Macaca mulatta: one gene and its partners. Each later gene encodes a partner of the first gene's protein in a complex. Links are inferred from orthologs where the notes say so. Each region holds a gene or a part of one and is shown in the gene's direction. Other genes may lie near its edges.

What was found. Proteins that work in one complex are often made in the same cells at the same time.
Region 2: the proteins of YWHAH (region 1) and NEDD4L are in contact, whole or in part, in a crystal structure (PDB 7NMZ), measured with the Homo sapiens proteins. The link is inferred for Macaca mulatta from reciprocal best matches to the Homo sapiens genes YWHAH and NEDD4L. Residues at the interface, in NP_003396.1 of Homo sapiens: Arg12, Glu15, Asn39, Asn43, Leu44, Ser46, Val47, Lys50, Arg57, Lys125, Arg132, Tyr133, Gly174, Leu177, Asn178, Val181, Tyr184, Glu185, Leu221, Leu225, Asp228, Asn229, Leu232, Trp233; in NP_001138439.1 of Homo sapiens: Pro444, Arg445, Ser446, Leu447, Ser448, Ser449, Pro450, Thr451, Val452, Thr453, Leu454, Ser455.
Region 3: the proteins of YWHAH (region 1) and NUMB are in contact, whole or in part, in a crystal structure (PDB 5YQG), measured with the Mus musculus proteins. The link is inferred for Macaca mulatta from reciprocal best matches to the Homo sapiens genes YWHAH and NUMB. Residues at the interface, in NP_035868.1 of Mus musculus: Arg57, Arg132, Tyr133, Leu177, Asn178, Val181, Glu185, Ile222, Leu225, Asn229; in NP_001129547.1 of Mus musculus: Gln274, Gly275, Ser276, Phe277.

Annotation. Positions count from the first base shown.
Region 1 is NC_133415.1:19,557,410-19,561,507, reverse strand, and holds the start of YWHAH (14-3-3 protein eta), read left to right. Parts: upstream 1-1,298; 5' UTR 1,299-1,403; coding exon 1,404-1,490; intron 1,491-1,888; exon of another isoform or gene 1,889-2,026; intron 2,027-2,484; exon of another isoform or gene 2,485-2,562; coding exon of another isoform or gene 2,563-2,577; intron 2,578-2,704; coding exon of another isoform or gene 2,705-2,820; intron 2,821-2,836; exon of another isoform or gene 2,837-2,862; coding exon of another isoform or gene 2,863-2,873; intron 2,874-4,098. UniProt on the Homo sapiens protein: Adapter protein implicated in the regulation of a large spectrum of both general and specialized signaling pathways. Binds to a large number of partners, usually by recognition of a phosphoserine or phosphothreonine motif.
Region 2 is NC_133423.1:22,744,215-22,748,239, reverse strand, and holds the start of NEDD4L (E3 ubiquitin-protein ligase NEDD4-like), read left to right. Parts: upstream 1-1,225; 5' UTR 1,226-1,610; coding exon 1,611-2,756; intron 2,757-4,025. UniProt on the Homo sapiens protein: E3 ubiquitin-protein ligase that mediates the polyubiquitination of lysine and cysteine residues on target proteins and is thereby implicated in the regulation of various signaling pathways including autophagy, innate immunity or DNA repair.
Region 3 is NC_133412.1:146,638,774-146,642,764, reverse strand, and holds the start of NUMB (protein numb homolog), read left to right. Parts: upstream 1-1,191; 5' UTR 1,192-1,245; intron 1,246-3,991. UniProt on the Homo sapiens protein: Regulates clathrin-mediated receptor endocytosis. Plays a role in the process of neurogenesis.

The DNA of each region.
Region 1 (4,098 bases):
TACCCCAGGCCTTAATCTCTTTCCTGACTCTACTCCAAGATCCAGCTTATCCCTGCGGGCTGAGCATGCAGTAGATGCTCAGTAAATTCTCAGCGATCCCAAGGCCCCTTCTCCTACACTGCCTTTGGCATGTTGGAAGTCAGTTGGGGCCCTGTTTTAAGCATTATATTCCTAGCTTGTCGGGCAGCCCAGCCCAGGGCCTGGCACAAGGAACCCTCAGTATCCAATGCCAGCCAGGATTGGGAGGGGCTCAGTGACCAGCCAGTTGGGCCACCCCAGCTCTTTGCCACAAGAGGAAGTCCAGCCTGGGTTTGGACTCAGATCCTGGCCCCACCACTTAACAGGCTGTGTAAACTTGAGCAAGTCACTACCTTGCTTTTCCTCAGGTTCCACATTTTAAATATGGGGAGACCAGCTGTGTCCACGTGGGCTGGGTAGTGAGGATTAAAGAGGAGAATGCTCGTACGGGACTAGCCCTGGGCTGGCTCCTAATGTGTCCTGAATATTACTTGTCTCGGCCTGGTCATCCAGTCCCCTCTGGTGGAAGGCACAAGCCTGCCCAAGGCTATGTCTCAGGATGTGTGCGACTGCATGTGTCTGTGTGTGTGGCGGGGCCGTCCCCGAGGGTCGGACTCGATTCTGCCCGGACCAGTGCAGACCCAAGCACAGGGTGTGGCCTAGCAGAACCCACGGACAGGCAGGGCTCGGGGCGGGCGGGACGGCTGGGGCGGGGCGGGGCTGGGCTGACCCGCCCCTTGGGGCACGCGGCCTCCCGGCTTCTCCGCGGGTAGGTTTGCTTGCTTTTGGGGCCCTTCTCAAGCCACATCGCTAACGTGGTTGAAGTGGTGCGTTTCAGGGTGGCGCTATGACAATGCACTCCCCGTGCAGCCGCCATCACCGCGCCGCCTCCTCCGGCTCCGCAGTCTCCTGCCTGGCTTTCCCTTCTCCACCTCCATCTCTGCGGCGGTAAAATGCAGCACTCGCAGAGCGCCTGCGCGGCTTTCAAGCGGGGCGGCGGCGGCGGTGGCTATTTATAGTAGGTGACGTCACCTTGAAATAGACCGTTAGGGCCGGCCCGCCCTTCCCCCCTCCCACTCCAGCCGCTCCCCGCCGCCCGGCCTGGCCACTCTCACTGCGCAGGCGTCGTTTCGTCCTCCCATCCCCCAGCGCGACCGCCTCTCCTCCCTCGGCGGTGTCCGCGGCGCGAGCCACAGCGCGCGGGGCGAGCCAGCGAGAGGGCGCGAGCGGCGGCGCTGCCTGCAGCCTGCAGCCTCCGGGTCGGCCGGCGAGCCAGTGCGCGTGCGCGGCGGCGGCCTCCGCAGCGACCGGGGAGCGGACTGACCGGCGGGCGGGCAAGCGAGCCAGCGGCGTGAGGCGCGAAGCGAGGCCGAGCCGCGAGCGACATGGGGGACCGGGAGCAGCTGCTGCAGCGGGCGCGGTTGGCCGAGCAGGCGGAGCGCTACGACGACATGGCCTCCGCCATGAAGGCGGTGAGCGCGCCGGGAGCCCAGGCGGCTGGCCGGGGAGGCCTGGCTTTGGGGAGGGACGGGGATGGCCGCGGGCGGCGTTCCCCTCCCGGCCATGGGCGACCCCACGACCCGGCTGGGCGTGGCCGCCCGCGCTTCCCGCTCCCGCTGGGCGCCCCGCCACTTCCTGAGGCTGGGCCCGGGCTGGGGGATCCGGGAGGGTGCATCTCGGGGTCGCGGCGGCAGCCCCGTTGGGGGCGGGCGGGCCGGGGTCGCCACATCTTAGTTCGGATCCCGGGCGGGGGCAAAGGGTGCCCTAGGGGTCGTGAAGGAGCCGCATTCCTCCTACTAGAGCGTTTCACCGGACCCGGGGGCCCCCCCTCTCGTCTTCCTCCGTTCCCCGACTTGGAATAAAGAATCACCTAGTGAGTGGCGCCCTGTCTCAGCTGGTTTTCTCTGCTACGTCCTGAAGTCTGTAATTCCGATCTGTTTTGCTCTGCTTGTTCGAATTGTTCTGGTTTCATCTTCCCACTCCTGGGGGTCTGGCTTTGTGTGCGAAGACCCCTTTCCTGCAGTCTAGGCGTGGACGAGGGCGAGAGAGGGGGCGGAGGGTGTGGGGCCCATCACAGCCCCAGGTTTGCTGCTGCGCTGTCTGCCTGGAGATTAAAATGAAACGTGACTTCTAGGTGAGACTAATCTGTGTGCCTTTGCATTCCCGAGACCCTCATAAATCGATTCTGCAGCTTCTTCTCCGGTGGAGGAGTCGTGCCCAGCCACACCCTAGCAAAATACCGTGGGTCACACACCACCTGCATTTCTGAGTTCCGGTTACCATCTCACTCACTCTTCACGTTATTTTACGTTTTCTCTAAATGAGTATTTCCTCTCACTGTGTCAAGGTCACACAGTGATAGAACTACAGCTGCGGCCACCATCCTGCTATGTTCAGTGTACAACCTCCTGAGACCTGGGAGGAGCCCCTTGAACCCCGCCTTAGACCTACAGATGCAGAAATTCGGGGGTGAGACTCATATCTGCATCGTAACCAGCTCTCACAGGCGATTTTTAGCTGGCTTAAGTCTGAGAATTACTGCCCATGACTATAGTAAATGTATCCTTTGCTGGCCTTTTGGAGGGAGTTGCGAAAAAACTGCAAATACAAAGGCTCCCTAAAATCTTAAGTCATTTGGAAAGCTCATTTGAAGGCTGTTGACCTTAATGTCAGACAAAATATGTAGTTGGGGCTAATATTTAGGATTGTTCAGGTAAGAAAGGTACTTGAAGAGTTGCCTTTCCTGTGGTGTCCTTGTTACACACAACTGGGTGTGTTTGGAGACCAGCAACACTGTTGCCCGTATGTTGATTTGTGGGTGATCTTGACTTCAGCACTATTAGCATGCTGTTTTGGTGAGGCAGGAGGTTTTCTTCCAAACCGGGGGGCCGTCTAGGTCTGGAGGCTGAACTTCATGTAGTTCAGGGGGTCCTTTAAAAGAAAATCTAAAATATAATTTTTGCATATTGTACAGAAATGGGGCTGACTGAATGCATTTCCTTGGAAGGGATCCCGAACCTTAATTTTCTTTGGGATAAAGCTGCCTCTGTCCACAGCAGGTCACACTTAAAACTCTCCTCCCCAGTTACTGAGTGGTGCTGGGATTATGCAGGCTGAGGCCTCGCCACACATTTTCATGAAGTGGTTGCTCACCCTCTTAAGTGAGACGTAAAGACTGCAGTGTTAGGAGCCCTTTGGGAAATAAATGTGGTGAAAAGAAAGGAGGGACAAGGTTTAAATGAAGGGGAATGGAGGTGAAGGAAAAATGGCTAGAAGGTGCGTTCTGAAACAATCAGAAACCTGAAGCAACTTGAAATGGGGGAAAAAGGCAAGAATGGAGAGATGTTACCAGAACAAAATCTAGTTTGAGTAGAGAAAAAGATTGGCTTTCTAGTAGGCTTGTAAAATGCTTTCCTGCAGCTAGCTACTAGTGTCCATAGATCTTCTCTGGAGGGTTAAGGTAGCCTTTTGTAAACCAAAGGAATCTATAATATCTATATTTGAAATAATGAGTTGGAAAAGCCAGCCAGCATTGAAGAGTCAATCCAAGCTTTAATTCTGCCATCTCAGAATTGTGATAAACCATTTCTCCTCCATCATCTAAATGTAATATATTGTGCTTATAGATATTTTCTTTAAAAGAAAAATAATATGTTGGAAAGGACTGGCAGGAGTCACTTTCCCTGCTAAATTGGTGTTTGTAGATTAAATTCTTAATGTTGGCCGGGCGCGGTGGCTCACGCCTGTAATCCCAGCACTTTGGGAGGCCGAGGCGGGCGGATCACAAGGTCAGGAGATCGAGACCACGGTGAAACCCCGTCTCTACTAAAAATACAAAAAATTAGCCGGGCGCGGTTGTGGGCGCCTGTAGTCCCAGCTACTGGGGAGGCTGAGGCAGGAGAATGGCGTGAACCCGGGAGGCGGAGCTTGCAGTGAGCCGAGATCGCGCCACTGCACTCCAGCCTGGGCGACAGAGCGAGACTCCGTCTCAAAAAAAAAAAAAAAAAAAAAAAAAAAAAAAAAAATTCTTAATGTTACTGGGATGACTCAGTCTCTATTTTATTAATCTCTTTTGGAAAA
Region 2 (4,025 bases), on another chromosome or scaffold:
TTCTTTGTTGGCTATTAACCCAGCGGAGACAATATGTGGCTATGGTAGTACTTGGAAGTTCTAGCATTACACAGACTAGCTTCCATTTCTCTCTAGAGGTCATTTTTGGCATTTAAAACACATGCTTTTAGAAAACAGATTTGGATGTATGTAAACACAGGGTTAATCCACCACACCCTGGATGCTAGGGCTATTGACAAAGTCATGCTTTGCAGATTTTAAAATAAACTTTTTGTCACTCTTGCAGCTTGGTATTTTCCCCTCCTATTTTTTCACCCCCTCTAAATAAACCTCTTTGTTAACTAATTGGTGTTTCTGGATCATAGAAAATAGTGAGTTTAAAATACAGCATATTTCCAAGCTAACTACAAATCTGAGGACAGTTTTTCGACTGTGCACCTTTCCTTCCATTTCTTAAGTCTTTTTTGGTCCTTTGCAAACATGGCAAGATTCCATATTTGTGTCCCAACTGTGGTAATATTGCTGACTTCGTACTGGAAAGCAGTCAGCTCTAGGCAGCATTTCTTCTGCATGGTATTTAAGTTAAATTATTACCACACACAAAAAAAATCCACATGCACTCCCTTCTTCAATTTTCCTTTTGTTTTTTGTTGTTATTGTTTGTTTTTTCGTTGACGTTTTCTTTCCTACCTGGCATATGGGAGACAATGTTTTCTCCAGCTGGGTTCCTTTTCTCTGGTACTTTGGTGTCTGCCAGTCATGTGTGAGCTACACACACGTATACACCTTTTAAATGAAAAATGCTGTGATAGCAGGAGGCCAACTGGGTGTGTAGCACGTCGCGCTCCCTCCCCTCCCTTTAGCTATTTTGTTACTTGTAGATCCTGGTCTAATTATTTAGCATTAAACGGACACTAACTCTGTGGGGTGTGTAATCGTATTTATAGTACTGTTTTATTAGTTTGCATTCCATCCTGGTAGTGTAGTGATGTCATAAATAACAGAAACATGGTATCCAATGCTTGGGAAGGGGTTTACCCGGTGGCCAAGCCATATTTTACTTGTCGTTATTCCATGTGTGGTGGGAGGTGGGGAAATACCGTGTGTGCTGTTAAACATGCCAGGTCCCTGCACAGGTTAGACAGAGTCCCAGCGCTGTGCTCCATTGGGAAAGAAATGCCCTGTGAATGTGATGTGGTTTAGATTTATAGCAGCGTGGCTTGCAGTGTGTTTGCTGCCTTAGTCAGCTGTGAGAGCGCCCTGCTGGGGCCACTCCTTTCTGATGGAAAAGCAGCAGCTGGGAAGGTGCTGTTTCAGGCTCTTGCCGTTTAAAAAAAAAGAGCGAGTGGGGGAAAACTCCTCTAAGTCCAGAAGCTGGCATTGGAGGGGGAGAGCGCGGTCATGTGGTTCTGGCCACCCTACCCTCTGTCACAGTGTGGATGAGAGCTTTTTGCTCTTATCCAATCATGCCTGGAATGCCGCTTGCCACTTGGGTTATTTCTGCTATCTGTCGCTCCTGGTGCCGCAGTGCTAACAGTTTGGCAGATGGGACACTTTTTCTTGGAGTTTGTGTCTTTGGTTTGTGACTTCTGGCAGTGCCGGGCCTGTTGTTGCCGCTCGCCCTCGCCCTCCTGGCCCCCCTGGTCACCATGGCCCATCGGCTTCGGTTTCATTTTGGCTCTGGTCGCAGCAACACAGCCCCCGAATCAGAGATCCTAGACCAGGAGAGAGAAGACGACTTCTTCATGGCATTCCACACCCTACCACGGAGGAGCAGCCCGCACCCCTTCGCCCAGAACGTAGGGGAGGATGGCGACGGAGGCCTGCAGGGAGGCGTGGGCGCGCTCAAGCGGAGCTCGTCCATGTTCATCCCGCAGCTCCTGACCAGCATCGACGCCCGCCCCACGTGCAGCTCCTCGGTGCAGATCTCCCTGCAGCGCAAGGCCGCGGACGGGGCCACGGATGGGTGCGGGCCGCCCGAGGGCGCCGACGATGGGCCTCCGTGCGCCACGCCGGACCCCGGGGACCAGGCCTCCGCCACCGCCACCGCCACCACGAGGGCCTCGCCCCAGAGCGGTTCCCGGGAGCCCTCGCCGAGGGACACCCCCGGGAACTCCCCTCCGAGGGCAGCCCGGGACCCGGGGCTCCAGGTCAACGGCACGTGCGGCGGCCGCCGCCGCGTGCGGTGCCCTGGCCCGGTGGACTGCCCCGAGGAGGCTGCCCCGGGCCTGCGCATCCAGCACCGCGCCTCCAGCGCCGACGTGCGCCAGGTGAGGCTGCTGCCCCTCGGCCCGGATGGCCAGGGCGGCCCAGCGGCGGCAGAGCCCAGGCGCTGGTCCCTGCAGCACGTTCCAGATGCTTCTGGAAGCTCCGGGAAGCGGTGTTTTGTCTTCCAGTTGCAGCAGCCCCAGCAAGGCGCTCTGGGGTCAGGCAGTGACCTCAACTTTGGCTTCACGGGCACAAAGGGGGACAGGTTGGTGAGGTATCCCCGCATTCGGCTGGAGAGGAGCACCTCGTACCCCACGCAGCCCCGAAGCGAAAGAGGGAGCCCCACGGAAGATCGGGGAGCCCCGGAGGCACCGCCTCGGGCTGGCAGGATGGCTCCCGAAATCCGCAGGACGAACTCCGCAGAGAGGACTCCGCAGGGCCAGGGGTGCACATTTAAGATCAGGCAGGATCAGAACGCGGGGCAGCAGCATTTTAGAATTCTTGTAACCCGGGGGCCGGAAGAAGCTCCCCAGAATCCCGAGGAGAAAAGCGCCAAAAGCCCTGTTTCCACGGGAGCTGACGCCACGGTAAGTTCACGGCTTGTTTACATGTGTTTACTGATTTCAACTTCGATGCTTACTCTGCGGCGTAACCAAAATAAACCTCACCCTCTGTCCCGGGAGTTTCCCTGCTTCAGGCCAGCGGATCTGAATGTTTGGCCGAGTTCTGGCACGATGATTTGTGGTCCAGAGTTTGGTGCGCAAAACACCATTTCTGCAAATGTCTTCTGTAGGTCCTCAAAGTCAACCAACTTTGTCTGTTTGGGAAATCCAAGCAGAATACCTTCCCCCTGCTTTTATTTTTCTGAATAGAAGAATTTTGAGTAAAATTTATTACTTTAATCTGCCAAAAACCAAGTCAGTGCCCCAACATGTTGATGGTGGAAATGCATTTAAAAAGCTGCTTGCAAATATAACCTGCGACAATACTTTAAAAACAATCAGTTCTCGGAAAGGTGAGGATATTGCAAAGGACCTGAGTTTCGTCTCTTAATAGTTAAAGAAGGTGAATGTAAAGTTTGGTGAAATATGATTATTTGTCATGGCCTTTTTGCTGAGGGGGTCAGGTCAGTCGTTGTTATATAATTCGCTTTGGGTTTTTTTGTTGTTTTTTATTTTTTTTGTCCCATTAAGTAATACTGAACGAGAGTAGTGTCACTTGTGGCATAGCGACATTACTGTCCCACAAGTGACACTACTGAGATACTAAGAGATGTGTTTTTAAAACAACTGGGTTATGGCCCAAGGCTAGGGGAAACTGACGGGGACTCATTAATGGTCAGATGGCATGCCGTGCAATTTAACACTGTCCACTTGAGTGTCCAAGCCGGGGATGCTGTATATAGAATAGTAAGTACCCTGTCTCCAGCTGTGGAAATAGACGCCTTAGAACAGATTCTGGCCTTCCTGTTTCTCTGTTCCTGATCGCTCCCTTTCAGTGAAATGGAGTACAGGGAGACAGCTGCACACTCCATCCGACCAGGCATATGATGACTCTGCAGCTTTCGTAGAGTGGGATGAAAAGTTTAATCAGTTCGGTTTCTTTTACTAGTAATCACTAGCCAGTGAGTGCTTTCTCTTAAAGAACAAGCTCCTTATATTTTGAATTGGATATTTTTTTCTCCTGAATTTCATGTGACTGCCAATTTGAGGATACGATTAGTAAATGTCTAGGGGACTTTTTGTTTGGATTTCACTTGTGAATAGTGATTTAGAAAAGTGAGTGTCTGAGTATTACTCTAGAATTGTATTGTCTTTTATTGCTTTGTGTTCAGAAATACGTTTCGTGTTTTAAGT
Region 3 (3,991 bases), on another chromosome or scaffold:
TAGGGCTATTTAAGAACTGCTGAACAGAAAAACAAAGTGGCAGTGAGAGGTGGGGGGAAGCAGAATTCTCATTTCCAGAGCATCACAAGGGTATATATATTGTGGCCCGCTTATTAGAAAGTTGCGAACCCGGCGTGGCGGCTCACGCCTGTAATACCAGCACTTTGGGAGGCTGAGGCCGGCGGATCAACTGAGGTTGGGAGTTCGAGACCAGCCTGACCAACATGGAGAAACCCCGACTCATGCCTATAATCCCAACTACTCGGGAGGCTAAGGCAGGAGAATCGCTTGAACCTGGGAGGCGGAGGTTGCAATGAGCGAGATAGCGCCATTGCACTCCAGCCTGGGCAACAAGAAACTCCGTCTCAAAAAAAAAAAAAAAAAAGAAAAAGAAAAAGAAAGAAAGTTGCTAATGACTGGTCAATTGGCAGGGGTCAGCCAGGAGTGGATCTGGAAGCTGGAGAACTCTCAATACGCCACTTCAGTTTATTGACGACATTTACAATTGCAACCGAAGTTAACTGATTTCTGCTAAATTGAAAGTTTGCGCTTTGCCCTTTAGCATGGAGGCGCCTGGAAAGAACTTCAATGAAACTGGGTGCATTGAGACCAAAGAAAAGAAGGGGACATTTTTTATCTCTCTGATACCTTTCTCCCCAGGGCTTGGAAACACTACTTAAACACAACCTCTGCTGTTGGTGTTTTGTAAGTACTACCCCTATGAGTAAAGCTAGCAGAGATAAGCTTCTCCTTGCAGGAAGGGAGCTGGAGAAGCGGAAGAGTTTACAGAGAAATCTCTACAACAAAGAGTTAACCCTTCCCGGGTAACCACTGATGTGAGCGTCTACTCCTCCTTTGCTTCCACTGCGCAACCAAACCATGCACAAGCGTGAATCAACCTTAGCCGTCACATCTCTTGCCAGTTAGCTTAACAGACACTTTTAGCAGCCTATCATAACTTCGAATTGCCCAACCCTCAACCAATTACAACTAAAGCTTGGGCTAGGACGCTCCAGGTCCGGGCGGGGGCGAATACCGGTTTTAGGAAAAGGGGCGGTAAAGAGCGATGACGGGCGGGTAAATTAAGCCAATCAGAGAGGAGAGCTGCCGCCCCATTATCCAATGGATAGGTTAGAAGTATGAAAGAGGGTGGGCCTGTTGTCATGGGGGAGGTGGTGGCGCTCGGTGGCCACTGGCGGCCGAGGTAGAGGCAGTGGCGCTTGAGTTGGTCGGGGGCAGCGGCAGGTGAGTGTCGGTAACGCGGGTAAGAGATCTGGTGGCCGTCGCGGGGCGGAATCTCCAGCTCAGCACTTCGCAGGCGGAGGTCGGAGGAAGGGGGCCTGGACTTCGGGTCTGGGCCGGGGCCGGGGCCAGGGCGGAGGCGGCGGGGGTGGCGGCGAGTTCGCGCTGACTGGGCTACGGGGAGAATGGCTGGGCTTCTGGCTGCGGAGTTCTCCCGAGGAAGGTAGGCTAGGGCCGGACCCACGCGGGTCAGGGCAGGAGGTCCCTTGGGACGTCCAGCTGCTCCGGTCTGGGGCGCTGACCGGCGGCCAGTGTGTGGGGAGTAGGTTATCTGAGGAAACGGAAGCGGCCAGGGTCCCAGAGAAGGGGGTGACCTGTAACGACCTGCTCCGAGGGCGGGGTGTGTCGGGAATACCCAGGACGGCTTGGGTGTCAGGGAGAAGGGGAACCCGGGAAGCCCGGCCGCGGCCCGTGTGGAGAGAGCGGGGTGGGGGGTGGGCGGCAGGGGAACTGGGAGTGGCCCCAGTCCGAGGGAGGTAGGAAGGCCGAGGGTGGCTGGGGTCCCGGGTGACAGGGAGCAGACTTGCTCCAAGTAGGGGCGTCTGAGGAAATGCTCGGAGGGGGTTGGGGACCCTCGTGAGAAAAGCGGCTGTCCAAGGGAGGGGGCTCCTGGGGAGATGAGGAGCAGCGGGTCTTCGGAGAGTCGGACAAATAGAGATCTTGCACCGCCTGGGGGAGGAACCGAAGCGCCCTGCGCCCCCATAGCTGAATTGGGATGAGAGACACAACTGGCCTGGCCGCTCCTGGGTCTAAGGATCCCTAGGGGACCAGGAAAGAAGTCCTGGAGGAGTGGCTCGGGTTTGAGACCGGGGTGAGGAGCCAGCAGGAAGTGGAAGTTCCCTCGGTTGGAGAGGAGTCCTGCAAAATGGGACGGAGATGAGCGGAGGTGGGGGAGAATCCCTATAGGAGGGAGTAGTAGATAAGGTAGAGAAAGTAAGTTGCCCGAGGAGAGAGCAATGGTTTCGTGGAACTGGCTAGGACAGTAGATATATGAGAAATTAACAGTGGAGCCATATAGGTTCACAGGTCTTCAGAAATAGAAGAAACTTCAGTTTCATAATTAATACCAAGATGACATCTAGGACCAAAGAAAAACTCCTAAAAGCAAGGTTAAGTGACTTGTTTTAGAAAAGAAATTTGTTTTAGGACGATGGCAGTAATATTAGGAAATAGGTTCATTGACAGGGTGGGGAATTTGAGAGGGAAAAGGGGAGGAGTAGCTGAACTAAAGGAGTAAAAGTAGATACTTGATCAGAAAGAGGATAGGCATACTCGGCTAAATTGAAAAGGAGTTTGAGTTCTACCACTTAGCTAAGTTTCTGTGCAGTTTCCTCATCAGAATACTAACAGTAATAGTTGCTACTTTATAAGGTGTTTTTTTTTTTTTTTTCTTGTCAGTACTTGTAGAGATTTTAGGGTAGTGAGTGGCACATAGTAGCGTGTACTGGATTGTTAAATAGAAGATAAAGACCTGATTTCTTCAATGGGGTGGCTCCCAGATATTAGCTTGCATCAAAATCACCTGGAGGGCTTGGTAAACTGTAGATTGCTTGGCCCCACCTGGGGGTTTCAGTAGGTCTGGGGTGGGGCCCAAGAATTTATATTTATCTCAAATGATGATCACGTTGGTCAGAGGACCACATTTTAAGAACCACTTACTTTAATGAAACCGGTAATAATGGTAACAACTTTAAAATACCTGCCAATCCTGCTAAAGGGACAGGTAGAGGCAAATTGCCCAAAAGATCCTATTATAAAGGATATCCATTTTTAAGCCTGTGTTTTTCAAATTGTGGATTGTGATTTATTAGTAATTTACAAAATCAATGTGAGTTTTTACCAGCATTGAAAATAAAATGTAGAACAGAATAAACTGACATTGCATTTGGTAAGGAAAAGTATTGTTTTGGGAAACTTTTCTCCTACATGTATGTACTAAGTCACAGTGTAAAGTGTATTTCTTTTTTTGAGTTCCTGGCCAAAGGATAAAATATATTTCTCAGAGTTAAAAAAGTCTGAAAGCTGGGCGCGGTGGCTCAAGCCTGTAATCCCAGCACTTTGGGAGGCCAAGGTGAGTGGATCACTTGAGGTCAGGAGTTCAAGATCAGCCTGACCAACATGGTGAGATCCCCGTCTTTAATAAAAACACAAAATTAACCGAGCATGGTGGCGCATGCCTGTAATCCCAGCTACTTGGAAGGCTGAGGCTGGAGAATTGCTTGAACCCCAGAGGCGGAGGTTGCAGTGAGCCGAGATCACAGATTGCACTCAGTCTGGGCAACAAGAGTGAAACTCTTGTATTACATTCCATTAAATTTCTTCAGTTTCTGATTTGGTTCCTCCTGTGTTTGTCTTGTCACATATTGTGTTATGCCTCTGACTCTGGAACTTTTTTGGATATTGAGAATCTTTGGCATGAGAACTTAAGGGAATTTGAGGCAGAGAAATTGAATGGTGTGTCTCAGATGTGGTCCGCTTTTGTTTCACTTGTGCCCTGTTGTTCACCCTTTCTTTTTTTATCACTGTACTGTAAAGCATTGTTTGTAAAAACCTGAGTATACACAGACATATTGACAGTAAACAACACTGAAATGGACTGGCTTGAGAAAATGTCATGTATAGAAAATAAGCAAAAACAAAGGAAGAAACATTGCGAAAAAGAAAAATGAAAAGATATTTCCTTTTTAGA